3 linked regions of the Arabidopsis thaliana genome follow. The protein of the gene in region 1 purifies or fractionates together with the protein of each later gene. This does not show direct contact. Each region holds a gene or a part of one and is shown on either strand. Other genes may lie near its edges.

What was found.
Region 2: the proteins of TPR3 (region 1) and ECHIA fractionate together in Arabidopsis thaliana (co-fractionation; one large-scale study listed by BioGRID). This does not show direct contact.
Region 3: the proteins of TPR3 (region 1) and AT1G30580 fractionate together in Arabidopsis thaliana (co-fractionation; one large-scale study listed by BioGRID). This does not show direct contact.

Annotation. Positions count from the first base shown.
Region 1 is NC_003070.9:1,105,115-1,111,166, forward strand, and holds TPR3 (Tetratricopeptide repeat (TPR)-like superfamily protein), read right to left. Parts: upstream 3,612-6,052; 5' UTR 3,444-3,611; coding exon 3,286-3,443; intron 2,965-3,285; coding exon 2,871-2,964; intron 2,757-2,870; coding exon 2,706-2,756; intron 2,616-2,705; coding exon 2,442-2,615; intron 2,334-2,441; coding exon 2,154-2,333; intron 2,076-2,153; coding exon 1,956-2,075; intron 1,877-1,955; coding exon 1,743-1,876; intron 1,579-1,742; coding exon 1,503-1,578; 3' UTR 1,240-1,502; downstream 1-1,239. Other genes in the region: YUC9 (YUCCA 9), read left to right, coding at 1-174, 275-874; AT1G04200 (dyggve-melchior-clausen syndrome protein), read left to right, coding at 4,562-4,751, 4,870-5,109, 5,186-5,249, 5,343-5,472, 5,564-5,705, 5,869-6,052.
Region 2 is NC_003075.7:9,175,353-9,180,356, forward strand, and holds ECHIA (enoyl-CoA hydratase/isomerase A), read right to left. Parts: upstream 2,788-5,004; 5' UTR 2,627-2,787; coding exon 2,217-2,626; intron 1,978-2,216; coding exon 1,695-1,977; intron 1,617-1,694; coding exon 1,512-1,616; 3' UTR 1,214-1,511; downstream 1-1,213. Other genes in the region: AT4G16200 (SWAP (Suppressor-of-White-APricot)/surp domain-containing protein), read left to right, coding at 297-838, 889-1,213; AT4G16215 (uncharacterized protein), read right to left, coding at 3,892-4,040, 4,140-4,224, 4,344-4,481. UniProt on the Arabidopsis thaliana protein: Straight-chain enoyl-CoA thioesters from C4 up to at least C16 are processed, although with decreasing catalytic rate.
Region 3 is NC_003070.9:10,830,421-10,838,009, forward strand, and holds AT1G30580 (GTP binding protein), read right to left. Parts: upstream 5,216-7,589; 5' UTR 5,035-5,215; coding exon 4,948-5,034; intron 4,615-4,947; coding exon 4,447-4,614; intron 4,344-4,446; coding exon 4,220-4,343; intron 3,893-4,219; coding exon 3,801-3,892; intron 3,640-3,800; coding exon 3,541-3,639; intron 3,442-3,540; coding exon 3,328-3,441; intron 3,010-3,327; coding exon 2,945-3,009; intron 2,786-2,944; coding exon 2,669-2,785; intron 2,562-2,668; coding exon 2,486-2,561; intron 2,292-2,485; coding exon 2,199-2,291; intron 1,879-2,198; coding exon 1,828-1,878; intron 1,632-1,827; coding exon 1,533-1,631; 3' UTR 1,253-1,532; downstream 1-1,252. Other genes in the region: HERK2 (hercules receptor kinase 2), read left to right, coding at 1-1,062; AT1G30590 (RNA polymerase I specific transcription initiation factor RRN3 protein), read right to left, coding at 5,556-5,820, 6,090-6,274, 6,387-6,500, 6,688-6,775, 6,869-6,952, 7,062-7,168, 7,285-7,353, 7,450-7,575. UniProt on the Arabidopsis thaliana protein: Hydrolyzes ATP, and can also hydrolyze GTP with lower efficiency. Has lower affinity for GTP. Exhibits GTPase activity.

The sequences.
Region 1 (6,052 bases):
AATGGTCTTATGACGGAGTTTGACGGAGAAGTGATTCACGCTTGTGAGTATAAGTCCGGCGAGAAATTCAGAGGAAAGAGAGTTCTTGTCGTCGGATGTGGAAACTCAGGCATGGAAGTCTCTCTTGATCTTGCTAACCACAATGCAATTACTTCCATGGTCGTTAGAAGCTCGGTAAGCAAAACAAAACTGATAATTCTGTTTTTAAACAAAGCATAACTTTTGTATGAAACTTTATAGCTAATAGTGTTCTTGTGTTTTTTAATTCGACCAGGTTCATGTTTTACCGAGGGAGATTATGGGGAAATCAACATTTGGAATCTCAGTGATGATGATGAAGTGGCTACCTTTATGGCTCGTAGACAAGCTTCTGCTTATCTTATCGTGGTTGGTTCTAGGGAGCTTATCAAACTATGGGCTTAAAAGGCCTGACATCGGCCCAATGGAGCTTAAAAGCATGACAGGAAAGACGCCGGTTCTTGACATCGGTGCTCTGGAGAAGATAAAATCCGGCGACGTAGAAATTGTACCTGCAATCAAACAGTTCTCGCGTCACCACGTGGAGCTCGTAGATGGTCAGAAGCTAGATATCGACGCTGTGGTTCTCGCCACCGGTTATCGTAGCAACGTCCCTTCTTGGCTTCAGGAAAGTGAGTTCTTTTCGAAAAATGGGTTTCCGAAATCGCCGTTTCCAAACGCGTGGAAAGGGAAATCGGGATTATACGCGGCCGGATTCACGAGAAAAGGGTTGGCTGGAGCATCAGTAGACGCCGTTAACATCGCTCAAGACATTGGAAATGTGTGGAGAGAAGAGACCAAACGACAGAAGATGAGAAGAAATGTGGGTCACCGAAGATGCATCTCAGTTGCTTAAGCCTCACGTTAGGGGTTTTCAATAGGATATATATAAATAAATCGATTTATTTGTAAAAATATACAAAAGGAAAAATGTAAAATAGAGTAAAGAGAGCCCTCTCCTGAAGTCCCCGCCTGTTTTTTTTATTACACAGCTGTAGGGGCGTTTTGTAAAATTAGGATGATGTGGCTCTCTTATTTTTTTTTTATTACCAATTTACCATATATGCTTATGTAAAACCTTTATGGAGGTAAATCAAAATTAGTGTTTGTCTCATTGGGCATTTCCTTCAAACAAATACAAGAGAGAGAAGTTCGAAGAAACTTGTTAACAGGCTTAGCTCGTTATAGAAATTGGCCCATTACAAAGAGGCCCAGATTTGTTGATGGCATGTACAGATTTGGAGGCAACACCGTCCGATTTAAGACCTACTCAGACCTATGTTGAACCTAGCCCGGTCGAGTAAAGATTTTGATTCGAAGATAGCCTTTTGACTCAAAAGTTCAAAGTTTTGTTTGATCATTAGATAAGAAACAACAAAAAGGTGGATTTTCTAAGTAGCACACACTCGCAAGAACTCTTTTTTATCTTTTTAGTCTTGATCAAAAACTGGATATAGAGAATCATACTGCAACAAAACAATGCCCTACGAGCTTTTCGATTTCTCCTTGAAAATGCGAGGGAGAATCTCATGTGCGCCGATATCCAGAGCTTGCGGTTCCCTGAAATCAAAACTCCAACTCTTTTAATCTTGAGTTAGATGCAAAAGTTTGATTCTTTAATACACCCAAGAAAATTCAACAGCTTGTGTGAAGTCAAGGGTACTTCATCAAATTCTTAAAGCACATTGCAAAACTAAACATAATAAGTGGTTTAGAGAAAGAACCTGCACAAAGTTTGTCCCTTTTCTTTCGAGCTAGATATGAACCAAACTTTCCGAAGAGAGGGAGATTCAAACTGAACAAAGATTCCATCATTTGGTCCGAGTTTCCATTTCCTTGAGCCTACACCTTTCCACACCTGTGAGACATCGTTTAACCGTCAGTCCATATATACAAACCAGAAAGAACAAGCTTAGAAAAAGACAGATTTGATTCACCTGTGGGTAGGATATACTACTCTTTGGTGTTACTAAGCAAGCAGCCTTGGAAAATGACTCTTCTGCGTATTGCCTCAGATACGTAAAGCAGTTACTGTGCGTGTCCGGAGACTGAAAAGCCTGAAGTAGGGAAACAAAGTAGTTTTATCAGACAAAAAAAAGATTTTTGATAAGATTCAAGTTGGATGCCCTTAATACCTTATCGATGTTGACAGCTGGTGCGTACTTGTCTGTTTGTGTTTTCTCTTTGTCAAGAAGGAAATAGACTCTAGTATCGACTTTAGATGTCTCGTGCCACGACTTCACAGCTGTTTCCATAGTCTCAACAATAAAAGAAAACATCTCTTTCCAACACTCTTCAGTTCCATAGTTTTCAGACTGCATGTGTTAAATTCAGAATCTGAGTTGGAACAATCAAATATAAGCAACGAGGAAGGCTTAGACTGATTCTCTGGAATTTCACAAGAAGAGAAAAAGAGGACTAACCATTTCAGATTTAAAACTTTCAAGATGCTTGGCCATGTCAACATTAGATCTTAAATTCTCAAGTTCTTGAGCTCTCTGTTTCTCCTTCTGCAACTGACCGAGCCTCTTGATCTTTCTAGAAACTTCTGTGCTCTGTGGGTTGTACTGCAGAGCCATTTCAAATGCAGCCAAAGCCTGAGATACAATCATCACAGTTTTAACTACCATGGAATAGCTTTGTGATAGAAAAAATTTAGATGGAACCAAAATAAGAGAAACATATACATCTTCGTATTTTTCCATGGCTTCAAGCACACAACCTTTCCTGAAGTACCCCTGAAGAAGATAGATCAGAAAAACCATCGTTTACGTAAAGACACACACAGATACTTTATGTTATTGATGATGAAACCGAAAGCACAAAAAAACATTGTCATGTATTGATTTTACCTTCTCCCACTGAGGGTTGAGTTTAATGGTAGTCTCAGCATCTGCTAAGGCCTTGCTAAGCTTAACTAGACTCAAAAATGCAGCAGCTCGGTTACTGCACCGGATAAACAAAAAGCTTTATTACACTTTAAAAATCTACTCACATTAACACATAACACTGTTCCAATTCACAGAACCTTAAAACCAAAAACCTCAACTTTTAGTATTCTAAATCACAATTGATCTTCCCAAATATAACAAAAATGTTGTAATACTATTATTCAAGTTAAAAGCCTAATTTGTCTCCACCTAAACAATCTCATTTTCTAAACATATCGCAAGAGAACAAAATCAGATCTTTCTGAGAAATCAGCTCAAATAGAATGAAACCCAACAATCAGATTCGAAAGACTGTAGAAGACAAGTAAAAGGAAACCTGTAAAGAGTAGCGTTAGAAGGATCGAGCTTGATGGCTTGAGTATAGAGAGCTGCGGCTTTAAGAAAGTTGCCAGCTTTGAAGAACTCATTTCCTTTTTCCTTTAGAGATTTCTCTGCTTCTCCACCATTCGTTGCCTTGCCTGCTTTCTCGGCCATTATTTCTAGAGGTTTGTAAGAAAGCCAAAGAACATGAATCCCCCAAGTGTGATTTGCTTTTCTATTTTAGGGTTTACAGAGGGACAAGAGACTTCCACTTCTGCTCTGTTCCTCTTTTAGTTTTTTCTCTAAATATTATTACTTTTTGTTCATCATTTGAGTTCTCTCACTTGTGCATATATTTTTAATTAAACATAACTAAGAATATTGAACATATGGAAAAGCCCAATAACGATTAAGTTTGAACTAATACCTTGAGCAATTTCAGTTCTAGAATCATTGAAGAAATGAAAAGCCCAAGAAAATAAATGGGCCTCAAATTTGTAAATACAGTAAAAAAGATTCGGCCACATCCCACTCCACCGACAACCGACGGTTCAAAGACGGTAGTAGCTAGCATCAATTTGACTCCATTTCGTTTGAATTATCCCAAATCCATTATCTCTGTTTTTATTCCACGTAGACTAGTAAATAATAATTTCATTTCTCTAGTAGAATAGAACAAGTCATCTGTTAACTTCAAAAAAAAAGTCAAGATTTGGTTTGAGGTTAATCTATACAGAAAATATTATATAAGCTCTTGTAAAAGAGAAAACGTAAGAACCCATAAAGTATTCGAATCATATTTATGAGAGTTTGGTGGGAATTAATTTGGTAGCACGTAGCCTGTATTTTTCAAAATTAGGAAAACACTTATTTAACTTCATTAATTACAAGTGCTGATGGAATGAATAATCAAAAATTGTCACATTTAGTCGCTAAATTATTTGTATCAAAAAATCAATTTGGAAATAAACTTACGCAGGAATAATAGTTTTCCAACATTAAAAGAAAAAGATTATAATATAAATAAACAAATAAAATAACGCGTCCTCTCTTTTTTTTTTTTGCTCAAAAGTCTAAACCCTTGGTATCGAAGCATTTGGTTTAACAGTTTGAATCTTCAATTAATCTCAGATTTAGATCGAGAGAGACCAAATTGAGAGCAAGATCTTTGCATTGTTCATCTCTTGCTTTGTAATGCCGTTGTTCTTCATCGTAACCGACTCGGTGGACGCGATCAATTGACTCGTTCTCTTTTGGATCCTTGTTGACTCGGCGAGCTTGGCTTAGGAGACATGGGAGGTGTGCCTTCAACGCCGCGAAAAACCGGTGGTGATGATGTTTCGGTGGCCGAGTACCTCATTGCCACTTTTGTTGGGGAGAAATCGTTTCCTTTAGCGTCTGATTTCTGGAACAAGCTACTTGAGCTTCCGTTGAGTTCTCGCTGGCCTAGTGATCGGGTTCAACAAGCCTGTGAACTTTTCGGTTAGTGTTGAAATTGTAAAGGATGTGTTGTCGAATTCACTTTGAGCTAATGAAATTGAATGTTGATGATGACCTAGTGAAAGTAGGAGGATGATCTTATTTTCTTTTTTTGTTTCAGCACAAAGTAATGGCTACACTAGGCACCTTGCAAAACTATTGATTCATCTGTCCTGGTGTTTGCAAGAGCTTCTTCAAGCTTCAGATGATCAGTCTTCTCTCTATAAGAAAGCTGTTAATGCAACATATATTTCATCCGTCTTTTTAAAGTATTTGATTGAGAATGGAAAAAGTGACAGTCTTCAGGAGTTGCATCTTTCTCTGGACGAAAGTGAACCAGTTCCACATGGATTTGTAATGGGTAATGACTCTCATAATAGTTATTTCCAGCGTTAAGGTATTTCTAAGCTGGCTAATTAAGAGTGTTTTGATGGCAGATCAAGACATCCAAAATTTTGTCATGCATAGTGTTCTGAGCTTCATTGGATCAAATGAAGTGAGGTATGCCAATGCTGATTCTCTATATCACCTATTCCTTATATGTTTCAGTATTAGATGTTTCATTCTCCTGATTTTCATCATTTATTTGGCAAGTCCCAACTCGTATGTTCTACATCAGGAACTTCTCAACTTCATGCTTGTTACAATGTCGACACAGCTTCTCTCTGGACCTTCACATGGACCAACAGATGCGAACCCTTTTATTGATGCAGCAATGACTCAGGTAACCAAATTAATTACTTTTTTCTTTGTCTTTAGCATAGATATTACCTCATATCAATTTCCGCCATTTCCTTTGGTTCAACGATTTTCAGGAAAAGTCTCTAGTTTCTCTAGTAGTCAGAAGGTTGCTACTTAATTATATTTCCCGACACCGTACTCCTCCAAATGCAAAATCCTATATGTATTCTGATGGAGATTCACAAGGCATTTTAGAGAGAGTTGGTTCTGCAGCTGGTAGGTGTTCGTATATTACTTCATATATGATGTATTATTGTACTAACTTGTAAATGTTGATCTTTTTCTATTGCCTTTCCGACTTTCCGTTCAATTATGTTTTCCTAACTAGCTACATGAAACAGTCCATGTACTCATGAAAACTTTTCTGTTGCATATACAGCAAGTTTAGTGCTCTTGCCTTTGAACTATCTTGTAAGTAACAGTGGCGGATCTAAAAATCCACTAGCGGAGTGCAGCCTGCATGTTTTACTTATCCTAATTAACTATCACAAGTCTATCATGAGTGATGAGTCTATGACGGATAAAAGTGATGACAGTGCGACCTCAGAATCAGTTTCTAAAGT
Region 2 (5,004 bases), on another chromosome or scaffold:
ACTATCTGTCTTTATTAAATAAAAATAGAAATTAAAAAATTATTGATTAATTCTAATTTGAAGCTACTAATTGTAAAACAAAAAAAAAATACAATAATTATGGAAATTTTACAATTAATTATTAGTTACAGAAGGAAAAAGTTTTTTGTCGTGGTTAGGGGATTGTCGGTTCTGTTGATTTGAGATAGTGTGGCGATTTTGTTTTCTTTAAAAAACCAAAATTTAGGTCAAATTCGATTCTTTCGTTTCTCTCGATATAATCTGATTTTGATTTGAATGTTTCTTGTTGTTGAAGAATGTCCACCTCGACGTTGCAATCGGAGCAAAGTATGGAAATCATTACCCCACCTGCAGATATCGGAACTAGAACTCTGGTTGACAAAGCTGCCCAATTCGTCTCCAAAAAAGGGTTAGAATTTGAGACTAAGATCATTGACTCTTATCCTACTGATGCAAAATTCAACTTCTTGAGGAGCACGGCAGATCCTTGTCACACATATTACAAGCACAAGCTTGCTGAATACTCTTCTCAGAATCAAGACGGAGCTACTGATGAATCAGACATCAAAATCTTTCACGCACCTCCAAATGTCACAACTACAGCTATTGTTGAGACAACATCATGTTTGGTTTCTCAATTCGGGTCGGAGTTTGAGATGATGGTTAAGGACTCTAATACAGATGATGCAAGATTTAACTTCCTGAAAAGCTCTGAAGATCCTTATAACGTATTGTACAAGCAAAAGCTTGATGAGTACTCATTAGATCCTCGCGACGCATATTACCAGCACAAGCTTGCTGAATCCATTTCTAAGTATCACCGTGAAGCTACACCAAAGTTGAGCCCTATCCTCCTCCTCAGTCTCAATTCAGTCTTCAGTCTCAAAGATTGGTCCTGCCTAATCTTTTACAGTTTAGACTTGTTAAAGAGATGACATTCGAGGAACTTGACACCGTTAAGGTCACAGCGCAGTTTGTGGCATGGTATGGGGATGATTTTAGAGGGTTTCTGATGGAAAGAGTGATGACGGAACCTCAGTTTGAGTTTATGAAGGCAACTGATTACAGGTTCTCTTTTTACAACGAGTTTGTTGTTGCGTATTCGCAAGTATTAAATCCACCCAAATATTTGAAAGATAAGCTGAGGGGTCGTGCTGCTTATACAGTAATAGGTCACTTGCTCATTACAATGTCAGAGGAGGAGATATCCTAATACTGCACGTCGTGGTCTGAGACAGAGAGATGGACAATGCTTGTGCAGGCTAGAACAAGCATGCATTTTATTCACTTAATATTGTTTGTTTCTAAAGCTTTGGACTTATAATCCTGATACAGTTATCAATTCCATAAATTTTACCAACATATGTCTAAAGCTGAGAGATACGTATCTTAGACTACATACTTGATTTGAAACAAACAAAGATATTCTTATTGTAAGACACTAATCAAAATGTAAATTAAGAAATGGTACAAAGTAGTAAGTATTATTTTAAGATCCATAGAGAAACTGTCTACAACTTAGAAGAAGGTTTCTTGGATCCACGTCCGGCTATAAACTCCTGCATCTTTCTAAACTGTTCCTTCGTCATCCCACTGTAATACGCGTGAGCTCGCTCCTACGATTTCAACAACAGTTTTAGACTTTCTCACAATCACAAATTGATCAACAAGTTAAAAATGGCAGAATGTTTAACCTTTTCTAGTGTGAGAGCATGCCCAAGATCAAGCTTAAGTCCATCATTGATAACGGATTTAATCCTCAGAACCATGCCTTGTTCATTCTTGATTATAGCCTCTGCGATTTCTCTAGCTTTCTTTAACGCTTCTCCTTCTTCAACCACATGGTTTACAAACCCTAACTTCCCAGCCACGTCTGCTGTCAGTGGCATCGATGTTAAAGAAACTTCTCGAGCTTTGTTTGCTCCGATGATCCTCGACAGCTTCTGAGACAAACCCCATGAAGGAAATATCCCAAACCTTCAAACACAAAACAGAGGATTCACATTCATATCATCAAAAACATTCATCTCAAGGCAACAAAATTTTGAGAGCATAAACAAATGAGATTGAATTTTAAGATGTTGAATTGAGTAGAGCTTGAAACAACATGATTTTCTATGATCCAAAGCTAAAATCTGCAACTATATTTGACCTAATTGCTAGATACCAGTGCTATTGATAACTATGCAAACGACGTCGTAAGAGAAGAAATCAACCTGGCGTGAGTATCCATGAACTTAGCTCCTCTAGAAGCGACCAAAATATCACAGGCCAAGGCGAGTTCAAACCCGGCGGTGATGGCAAAACCGTTAATAGCTCCGATGATCGGTTTACGTAACCGCTCCATCTGCACAACCGGGTCGGTTTCCGGATCCTTCACGTCTCCTTTGAAAACAGACTCCGCCGCAGTCAAATCAACGCCAGAGCAGAAAGATCGACCTGATCCGGTGAAAATCACGACCTGGACCGATTCGTCGGAGTCCATATCCTTGAATGCCTTGGCGAGATCAACCATCATCGCTCTCGTGAGTGAATTGAGAGATTTCGGACGGTTGATTGTGATGACGGCGATCCCGCCTGATTCTTTCTTCACCTGAATGAGATTTTCCGATACTGTTTGATCCATTTTTCGACGATTCCGATTACAATTGAACGGATTTCGAATTTTCCGATCGGGTTTTTAAATAGAGTCAATCAGGAAGAGATGACGAAGAACTTGGGTAAGTGTGCCATTGTTTTGTCGTTGTTAGTAAACAACGTCCCGTTTTTTGCTTCTATTTTAGACGCTGCGTATTTTGTTTCTCAAACATGAAAACGGCAAGTGGAGAAAGTACAAACACAAACCATGAGTAAACCGGATCGAACCGGTCTGATTTCTGTTCATCTGTTAATAAATGGTTTTGTTAAAAAACTTTTATGCACCATTTGCATAATAGACTCGTTAATTTTTTTTTATTTTTTTTTTTGTGTGCACAGACTCGTTAATGTGTTTTAAAAAACAATCTTCTGTTAAAGTATAAGGTTCACCACAAAACGTTTGAGCTCTATACAATTACTAAAAATAGTTAGAGTAAGTTAAAAACGTCAATGATCTGATCTCAACTAGTGAAAGACACATCCACTTGGTACAAAACCTTGATCTGAAACTCCTTGAAACATTGCCCCATGAAAAGGAGAGAAGATGCTTCATTCATCATGCAATTATTTTTATAGAAGTAATTCGTTTCACCATTAATATGTTCACAATTGCAAATATTTATTTGTTTAATCTTTTAAAAGAAGGTCGGACCAAGATCAGTAATTTACTTTGCCGATGTCAACTTTTTAACCCGTTTGTTCTATTATCAGAAAAGTTGAGACCTTTCATAGCAAAAGTTCAAACTAAAGACATTGGGTTCAACCTCCTTTGGAGGATACCAGCTAACACCACTATCCGTTAATTTATCAAGCATTAGTTTTAATCACCATTATACGTTAGGTCAAAGATAACGAATTACAATCGTCTACCACGTCAACGGTTTGTATTACTTCTACAAGTAACCGATAGTGCATGTTTCATGGGAGCTTCTATTATTTAATAACACGTTTTATTGACTATTAATTACTATTATCATCATGAAACAATTAATGTGTATAGTCTTATCTTGATAACAAGTTGTTTTGTTAATTTAAAATCCACCTCTTGCTTCTTTTGTTGTTTACTACTCTATTTAATACTACTATCTATTAACATGTTACAAACAAACATATAGTATTGTATTTTTTTTCTTTTTTTTTTTTTTTTTTTTTGCTCAACATCAACTTTCATTTATCAAATGATTACATCCAATTGAAGGTACATAACATTCTCCTCTATCAAATTGGACCCAAATGCAATGGTTTGATCTAGTATCACGCTGAAACACTATCGGATCCAGCGCTACCTGATCGAGGAACCATTGCATTTTTAAACCACAATGAGATAGATAATACTCCACAAATCAGAATATTATCATCTCTTTGACCACCTACACAGACTCTAAGCGACACGAGAACAACTACTAAAACGGAAGAGACCAAAACCTAGTCTGAAGTACAAAGTAAATCCATACTATTAGTCCCTATTGATCAGAATGTAATCCATGTCCCAATAGCATTACCACCCGGAGACGCATCATCAGAAAGACTCAATATCCCCGGCTTTCGTTGTTCCGGTCCTAAACCAAAAGCGGACCATATATCCGACTGACCCGACCAATGATACAAGGCAAACCAGCAAGGCTAGAGCTTTTCCCGAGCTAACCAATCAACCGTAAGCTACTAATCGATTAAGGATAACACATTGGAGCCCGGATTAGTAAGACCTCACCTAAACGGTGCATTGCCGGAACGATCTCGCCGCACATGCCTTGTTGCCTCGCTCCATCGCCGGACTGGACCAGACATTGAGACGGTTCACTAGATCTCCGGATTATCTCGGCCACCGGCGACCACAGCTCCATCCCCACGCCTGGAAGACTCTGACTCTGCCTCTGTTCATCCGTCGGCTTGGTTCTCCTGGGGGATACAGGGATCGAAACAGCTGCTCGGAGCAGCTCCGAACCCCACCAGTCTCCTGGATAAGGATCGAGCCGAGAGCTCTCTCCTCTACCTACTGCCTCCGCATCGTCACACCGTCGTCGTTGAGCTTCACCTTAGCCTCCGGAGAAAGGAGCAAAGAGTCGACCTTATTTCTAAACTAATAGACAAGACAACGAAAAAGAAAAGGGGGGAAGCCCTCTCACACCGCCGGCAAAAGTCACAGGCGGCGGAGAGGCGGCGACGGCTCAGATCTAAGTTTTTTCTCAGAAAAAAGCTTTCGTAGGATATCCAACTTTAGTATTGTATTTTCTAGAGTCTAGACACAACATTTAATTTTTCACAAGCTTGTATATTGATCATCTTTTATTTTTTCCTTTGCTATTTTTATTATGTGGCTTGACTTTGAGTTTGGTGGGAAGTTGCATTCCAGTCTTGCGAGTAAAA
Region 3 (7,589 bases), 9.7 Mb from region 1:
AACACTCTTGCAGCATCTACAATGGGAAGGAAGTTTACACTAGCCGAGATTCGTGCAGCAACTAAGAACTTTGATGATGGTTTAGCTATTGGAGTTGGAGGGTTTGGTAAGGTTTACAGAGGAGAGCTTGAAGATGGAACACTCATAGCTATAAAACGAGCCACCCCACATTCTCAGCAAGGGCTTGCTGAATTCGAAACCGAGATCGTGATGCTCTCAAGACTTAGGCATAGGCATCTTGTGTCTTTGATCGGGTTCTGCGATGAGCACAATGAGATGATCTTGGTTTATGAATACATGGCAAATGGAACTCTCAGGAGTCATCTCTTTGGAAGCAACCTTCCGCCATTATCATGGAAGCAACGGCTTGAAGCTTGTATAGGCTCTGCGAGAGGATTGCATTACCTTCACACAGGGTCAGAGAGAGGAATCATTCACAGAGATGTCAAAACAACAAACATACTATTAGACGAGAACTTTGTGGCAAAGATGTCTGATTTTGGGCTGTCGAAAGCTGGACCGTCCATGGACCATACTCATGTGAGTACAGCTGTGAAAGGAAGTTTTGGTTATCTTGATCCTGAATACTTTAGAAGGCAACAGTTAACAGAGAAGTCAGATGTTTACTCTTTTGGTGTTGTGTTGTTCGAAGCTGTTTGTGCTCGAGCTGTTATAAACCCAACTTTGCCTAAAGACCAGATCAACCTTGCGGAATGGGCTTTAAGCTGGCAAAAACAGAGAAACCTCGAGTCCATCATCGACTCAAATCTGAGGGGAAACTACAGTCCTGAATCGTTGGAGAAGTATGGGGAGATAGCAGAGAAGTGCTTAGCGGATGAAGGGAAGAACAGGCCAATGATGGGAGAAGTGTTATGGAGCTTGGAGTATGTTTTGCAGATTCATGAAGCTTGGCTTCGCAAACAGAATGGAGAAAACTCGTTTTCGAGCAGCCAAGCGGTAGAAGAAGCACCAGAGAGCTTTACTCTTCCAGCTTGTTCCAATCAAGATTCCTCAGAAACTGAGCAGAGCCAAACAGGATCTGCTCTTCACAATTCGGCTTAGAGGAAGCAATTGGATTGGCCAGTCCCAAAATAATTCTTTTGTTCTTTTGTTATAATTGATTGTGATCTATCCAGAAGCTCTTTTGTAATAGAGCTTGTAATATACACTGCAAATATAATTTCCTTAAGGTATTCGTTTAATCATTCTTTCCATTTGTTTCCTTCGCTAATAAGTGCACCAGAAGTTGTTTGCTGGGTTTCTTCAACTCATTCTCACGCACAATTACTCAAGGTTCTTTCCAAATAGTAGAGAAAAACTTATTGAAAGAGTTCTAAACGATACAGCAGGCTTAATGCTCTGTCTAAAGGCAAAGACATGTCTTAGCTAACTGCAAAATGTAAAGAGTTACAAATACTTGTTTGGTAAAGCCACTCAAAAACGGAAAATACAGCTTGGTTCCTTTCTCGGAAATGGATAGAGCTTCAAGATCCAGAGAGGACACCGCGGATAGGTGGACAGACGGATGGATCTCATTTCTTCCCACCACCGGAAACATTGAACTTGAAGAAAATGATATCTCCATCCTGAACAACATATGTTTTACCCTCCTGTCTGTATTTTCCTGCGGCCTGCATTAGTTGAAGGGATTATAAATTAGACCAAGTGTCATCGCCATGAACATTATAAATATAATCATGCCTCTTCAACGAGGATATCTTGCACAGTGGAGAGCTTCCTTAACATTTTCATGTCTGTTTTTAGAGGCTACTTACTCCACCGAGACCTTAAGAGATTGTAGAAGGAAAAGAAGTTATAGACAAATACCTTGACTGCAGGTTCATTGCCAAGTTCCTTGAGATCCTCGAATTTCATGACCTGTGACATCAACAACAACATTGGAATAAATCACATTGAATTTCAAAACAGAAAAATATTTGATTAGATATGGTTTGCATTAGGATTCTGCTTTGATATCTACAGGCCTGCATCGATACTAGGAAATCAACACCAAGATGAATATAAGAATATGCAAGCAAGCATTTGTTTTTGTCAGTGAAAACATAAGAAAGATTATATAAACTCTATAACAGAACAAATCATCAAAATCTGGAGGGGAAAGGCTTTACGCATGTAAATTTTAGGTAGGAATAAACTAGTGAATTGACCAAGATTCAAGAGAAATGAGAAAATGGTACCTCAGCACAAATAAATCCTCTCTCAAAATCAGTATGAATGGCCCCTGCAGCTTGAGGAGCCTTTGACTGCCGTCTTATTTGCCAGCACTTCACCTGCAAATCAAAGTATCATTGATGGATGTATTTTATAAACCATCAAATTCCAGTAACAATGCACTACTTGACACATAACACTGATCATGCACTACCAAATAGCTCATTACAGAACAATTATGCTTAGAAGAATTTCACAGAGAACTAGAGACTAAAGCGTGTAGTGAAGCCAAGTAAAGTGGGACTGTTAATACCTCATCAGGCCCTGCTGTAAAGAAGTATATGAGGTTAATTGCTGAAAATCCAGTTTTGATGATCCTCGGAAGAGCACTGTCAAAGCAGCAATGGCCATAAGATTCAATTTAACAGATTCATAAAGAAAAATCATCTTCAGGAGCAACTATTCATTCGCAAGGTGCTGTTCTTTTATTCCTAACCTTTGCAGTTTGTTCTCCTCACAATACTTTGCTGCTTCATCTGGGGCCATATCAGCGAGACTCCTTTCAAACACACCACTGAAAGGAATCATAGTATCACCACCGTGTTCTTGAACCCTACATAATGATGAAACAGATATTTTTAGTTTAGGAGAAGTATAATAAGGTAAGTAAATGTGTAAGCACGTAGCCATATTAGAAACTTTTGCAACAACCAAGGGGCAAAATGTTTTACTTATTATTCAACATAGTTTGTGAAAGGATATATATTAGTACCAGGCATGAATCTTTGGCAAGAACTTGTTTTTCTTCCTCTGATAGTCTCTCTCATTCAGGTTAATCTGTAATTTAAATTTCAGAGTAACCAGTGATCACAAAAAGTCCAACCAAGATGCCTTAATAGTTCTTACACTGAGATGAAACACATAGTTGAAACAAACATGAAAGCATAGAGATCAGAAATAGCTAAGGAACACACTATGGTTAAATTTGGGGGCAAATAGTGTCACAAAAATAGACAGTATGACCTACATTTTGCAAACTGACCCGAAAAAAATTGAGGGAACAAAATTGTCGACTATAGATATGAAAGAAGCAAATGCATTTATCTTGATAGAAACAATGGTAACAGAAAGAGATGAACATTCAAGACTACTCACCAAGTAAACAACGGGCTTTGCAGAAAGCAATTGGAAAGTGTTCAAAATCTCGATATCAGCTGTTTTCCAGTCCCCAAAACGGACATCCTTACCATCTTCTAGCCAAGCTTTTACCTAAACCAGAGAGGTACAGTCATTTTTTCGGCCAATTAATAATTAATGAGCAATAACATTTGCAGAACAAGACTGCATGGTTGTCAAATTATAGCATACCTTTTGCAAGAGCTCAAGTTCTATTTTCAGCTGCTTGTCATTGCTCCTCTTCATGCTCTTCTCGACATCATCAATCTTCTTTCCAACAAATTCAATATCCTAAAGTTGCACCAAAGAATTCAGTTTGAAACCAAAACAACAATGGATGAAATGAAGATCCAACTAATACAAAAAACAGACTACTGTATTAATATACACAGAAAGGATTTCACGAGTTTGGAGATATAGCAGTCAAATATCTGTTTAGAGATTTGATTCACCTTTAGCCGCAACTCTTCAGTAATGGTCTCCAAATCTCTAACAGGATCCACGATATCGTCGACATGGATAATATCAGCATCTTCAAAAGCACCTGCATATGTTCAATCGAAAAGTCACTAACCACTATATAACTGGCAAGATATCTTACTATCAGCAACTATTAAAGAAACATCCCCGTTGTTCAAGAACAGATATGCTTGGAGAGGAAAACATAAACTAACTATCGCAATGGCCCTATAGGTATCAAATGGGAAGAAAAATATATAAAGGTTTTTAACCTGTCTCTCATTGAAAAGCCTGCTCAAGTAGAAATTCAAGACAGCACAAGTAGCAGTACAGTCTAAATTATTCATCAAATCACGCATCACACTAAAACAAAGCTGGCACTAGGAGAAAAAGCGAGAGGGAAAAACCATACGTAAAACATGGAAAATTCCATCAACTGCACGAATATGGGACAAGAAGTTGTTTCCAAGACCCTGTCCTTCATGAGCTCCTCTAACAAGCCCAGCAATGTCATGAATTTCCAAGAAAGCTGGAATCTGAGGCATCAAAACAGACAGAAGTCAGCCCATTCATAAAGTAATTCAGATAGTAGTAATCTCTTCCTTAACAGCAAGTCATGAAATAAAGTTACAAACTTACCTCACTCTTAGGCTTGTAAGTTTGGCAAAGCCAATCGAACCTCTCATCGGGGATATTCACACGTGCCTCATTAGGCTCAATGGTACAAAAGGGGAAATTCTCAGCTGGAATTGAAAGCTTTGTAAGAGTGTTGAAAAGAGTAGATTTTCCAACATTTGGTAACCCAACCTGCGATGCCACAAACAATTCCCATAGTGAATAACATCAATACTTCTCCATATCATCATATCAACCATGAACAATCAACCTTAATCACTGTATCAAAGAAGCAGTTTCTTAAATATGGATTAAACATCTAAAAGAGTACAGTGACAAACACAACGAAACAAACAATATCATCATGCATCACTGATGAGTTAATAGATCTCTCCCGGCAAAACTCAGAAGAAGAAAAAAAAAAAAAACTTTTATCGAGGAAAGTATTGCGATGAGCAAATCTACCATTCACCATTCGAAATTAATCAACTTGGATTCTAAAAGAGAGATGAAGAGAAAAATTACAATTCCGATCTTGAGGTGAGAAGAGAAACGGCCAAGAATAGGCCTCTCTACGGGACCTGCATCTTTAGCTTTGGCTTTCGGAGGCATCTTTCTCAAAGTCTCGAGCTTGAAAGTGAAGCGAAGCTCTAAGATATTCTAGGGTTTTTGCTGATTAACAAAGCCTAGCAGAAGAAGCTACAAGACGCCGACGCCGAGGTTAAAGAGAGATTGCTCAGCTGGTTTACGGACCGGTTTAAATCGGAGGGTCAATTCCCGGTTTACTTTTAACCATTTGCGGGACATTTACCAAAATACAAAGAGCTATTTTTAACCAATTTTGTGGACAAAGTAAACCCAATATTGAACACTAAACCGAGAAATCAATCATTCAGCATTTCAACTTAACCAAATTAAACCGAAACTCAAATTAGGTAATCATAAACCAACTGACTAAATTTTACTTCATAGATGTTCTTCAAAATTTTGCTACAAAACCACATGCGATCAGATAATACCACAGACTCGCACAAAACTCATGTCAACTTCTTTTTTTTAGAGTTTACGCACTAGCTAAGAGATTGTAATAAGAAACCTACATTGCAAAATTGCATTCCCTCTCTCTATGACTATTAGATTAAGAAGGATTCAGGAGGACTAGTGGATGGTCTGATTCTTGAAGGCATCTTCAAGAGCCTCTCTGTTTCTCGCATGAAAGAGTGTTTCGGAGTTGTAGACATCGTGTTCATCTCACTATCAAGTTCAACGTCATCGTCAGGTTCCTCCGCACTGTCTGCATCTCCATTCACTATGACCTCATCACAAAGCTCTTCGTCACCATCTTCTCCATAAGTCGTTTTCACCATTGACCAGAAGTTGAAGTTCGGGGAGATGTAGCTTCAAGAATTGACAAGAAAACACGTGTGAGAAAGAGAGTTCAAGCCTATCCAATGCAAATACTTTGATTCATCACTTGTTTTATCATATTAAAATAATTTTCAATGTCATTTCAAGACTGTAATTAAGATGTATGCAGTAGAATTTGTATCAAATATGCCCAGGTCGGGTAAATTCATCCAGTGAGTCAAGAACCTTGTGTAAGATTCTCACATTGATTTGTCCTTACTTTGGAAGAGAAAAAATAATCAAGAGTAAAGATAGCAAACCTGCTAGACATTTTCAACAAGCACGGGTCAAACGGGAAGAATGTGTCAAGCCTTTCAAAGCCACCAAAAGCACGAGAGAGCTCAGACTCGTGTAGGTCATCGAAAATGAAGGATTCTGAGACAATGAACAGACCACCAGCTTTGGCTTGTTTAAGGAACTCGGAAACTACAGATGGAAGACACACCTGTTCACACAAAATGAATGGTGCAAGCATAATGCATTTGATACTTGGAGTGAAGACTACTTAAAATAACAGTTGAGCTATGAGAAGAAAATGATTAGTGTAAGTCACCCACCAGTAGTGGGTTTAGTTTGTGAGATAAAATTGACTCCAATGATCTAAACTGCGATTGAAAGCGAGGAATCTCCACTATGGATCTCATTCGGAAGCATAGCACATACAAGATTGCCTACAGTCATAGAAAAGTAACAACTTTAAGCGATACATGACATAATAGCATATGATCCCAAACGCCAATAAGCTTCTGGTAAGGGTGTGAACATTAACAATGATTGATAACTAGAGACGTCAATGATTTCACAGAAGAGTTCTTAAGGAATCAAAAGCCATAAGATGGTCTTAAACTTGGACTATACCTGACATCCAGAATAGAACACTTGATGTGCTTCTGGCTTCACATCATCATTGCATGTTCCGCAATATTCCGCACACTCGTCCACCAATCTAGGATTTCAGCAAAAGAGAAACTATGTTACAACAAAGCGAGACTTAAATCAGATCAAACAATTACATTTTCCATTTTTTAGCAATACGTACCTTTTCAACATGCTAGCCACAAAAGAAGCAGGCAAAAACTTTCCACGAGACAAATAGCTAGCTAGATAAGCCACTGCACTCATCCTGTTAAGTATAAAGAGAAAACAAAAGAATACACAAGTGGTGATTAGAACAATATTAGCTTCATATCATGCAGAGAAATCTTTACCAAGAAGGACAAGATTAAACTCGCCTAGTAAGTCGACATGTGTTGCTGGAGAGATATATGTCCAACAGCTTACTGGCAAATCTCACACCACAATTTTCAGGATCTAGTGAGCATGCATAGAACATCAGAAACTGCAGATGAAAGTAGAGTGAGTCTAAGCCAAGACATCACATGCCGATAATGAACTAATGCTAGAAGCCTACAATGAAAACTTTGTAGTATGTAAGGTGATAGCTTTGATGCCTACCTGTGAAAATTTTGTTTTGTATGTGTTCAGAATATAGTTCTCGAACGACTTAAAGAGGATTTCAAATACCTATGCCAAAATGAAAAACAGAAACACCAAAAGATCAATGAATCTACCACAAAGGAAAGGAAAAATATGTTGAACAAGTACCATTTGGTGCCATACCTCATCCAAACGATCAGAGTTTTGACAGGATTCTAGATGATGAAAAAATAGGACCATCAATTTGTCCAACAGTTCAGAGACTACATTTCCACCTGAAGTATTTTGTTTTAGAGCCCCCACTGGAAACTGCAAAAAGAGAT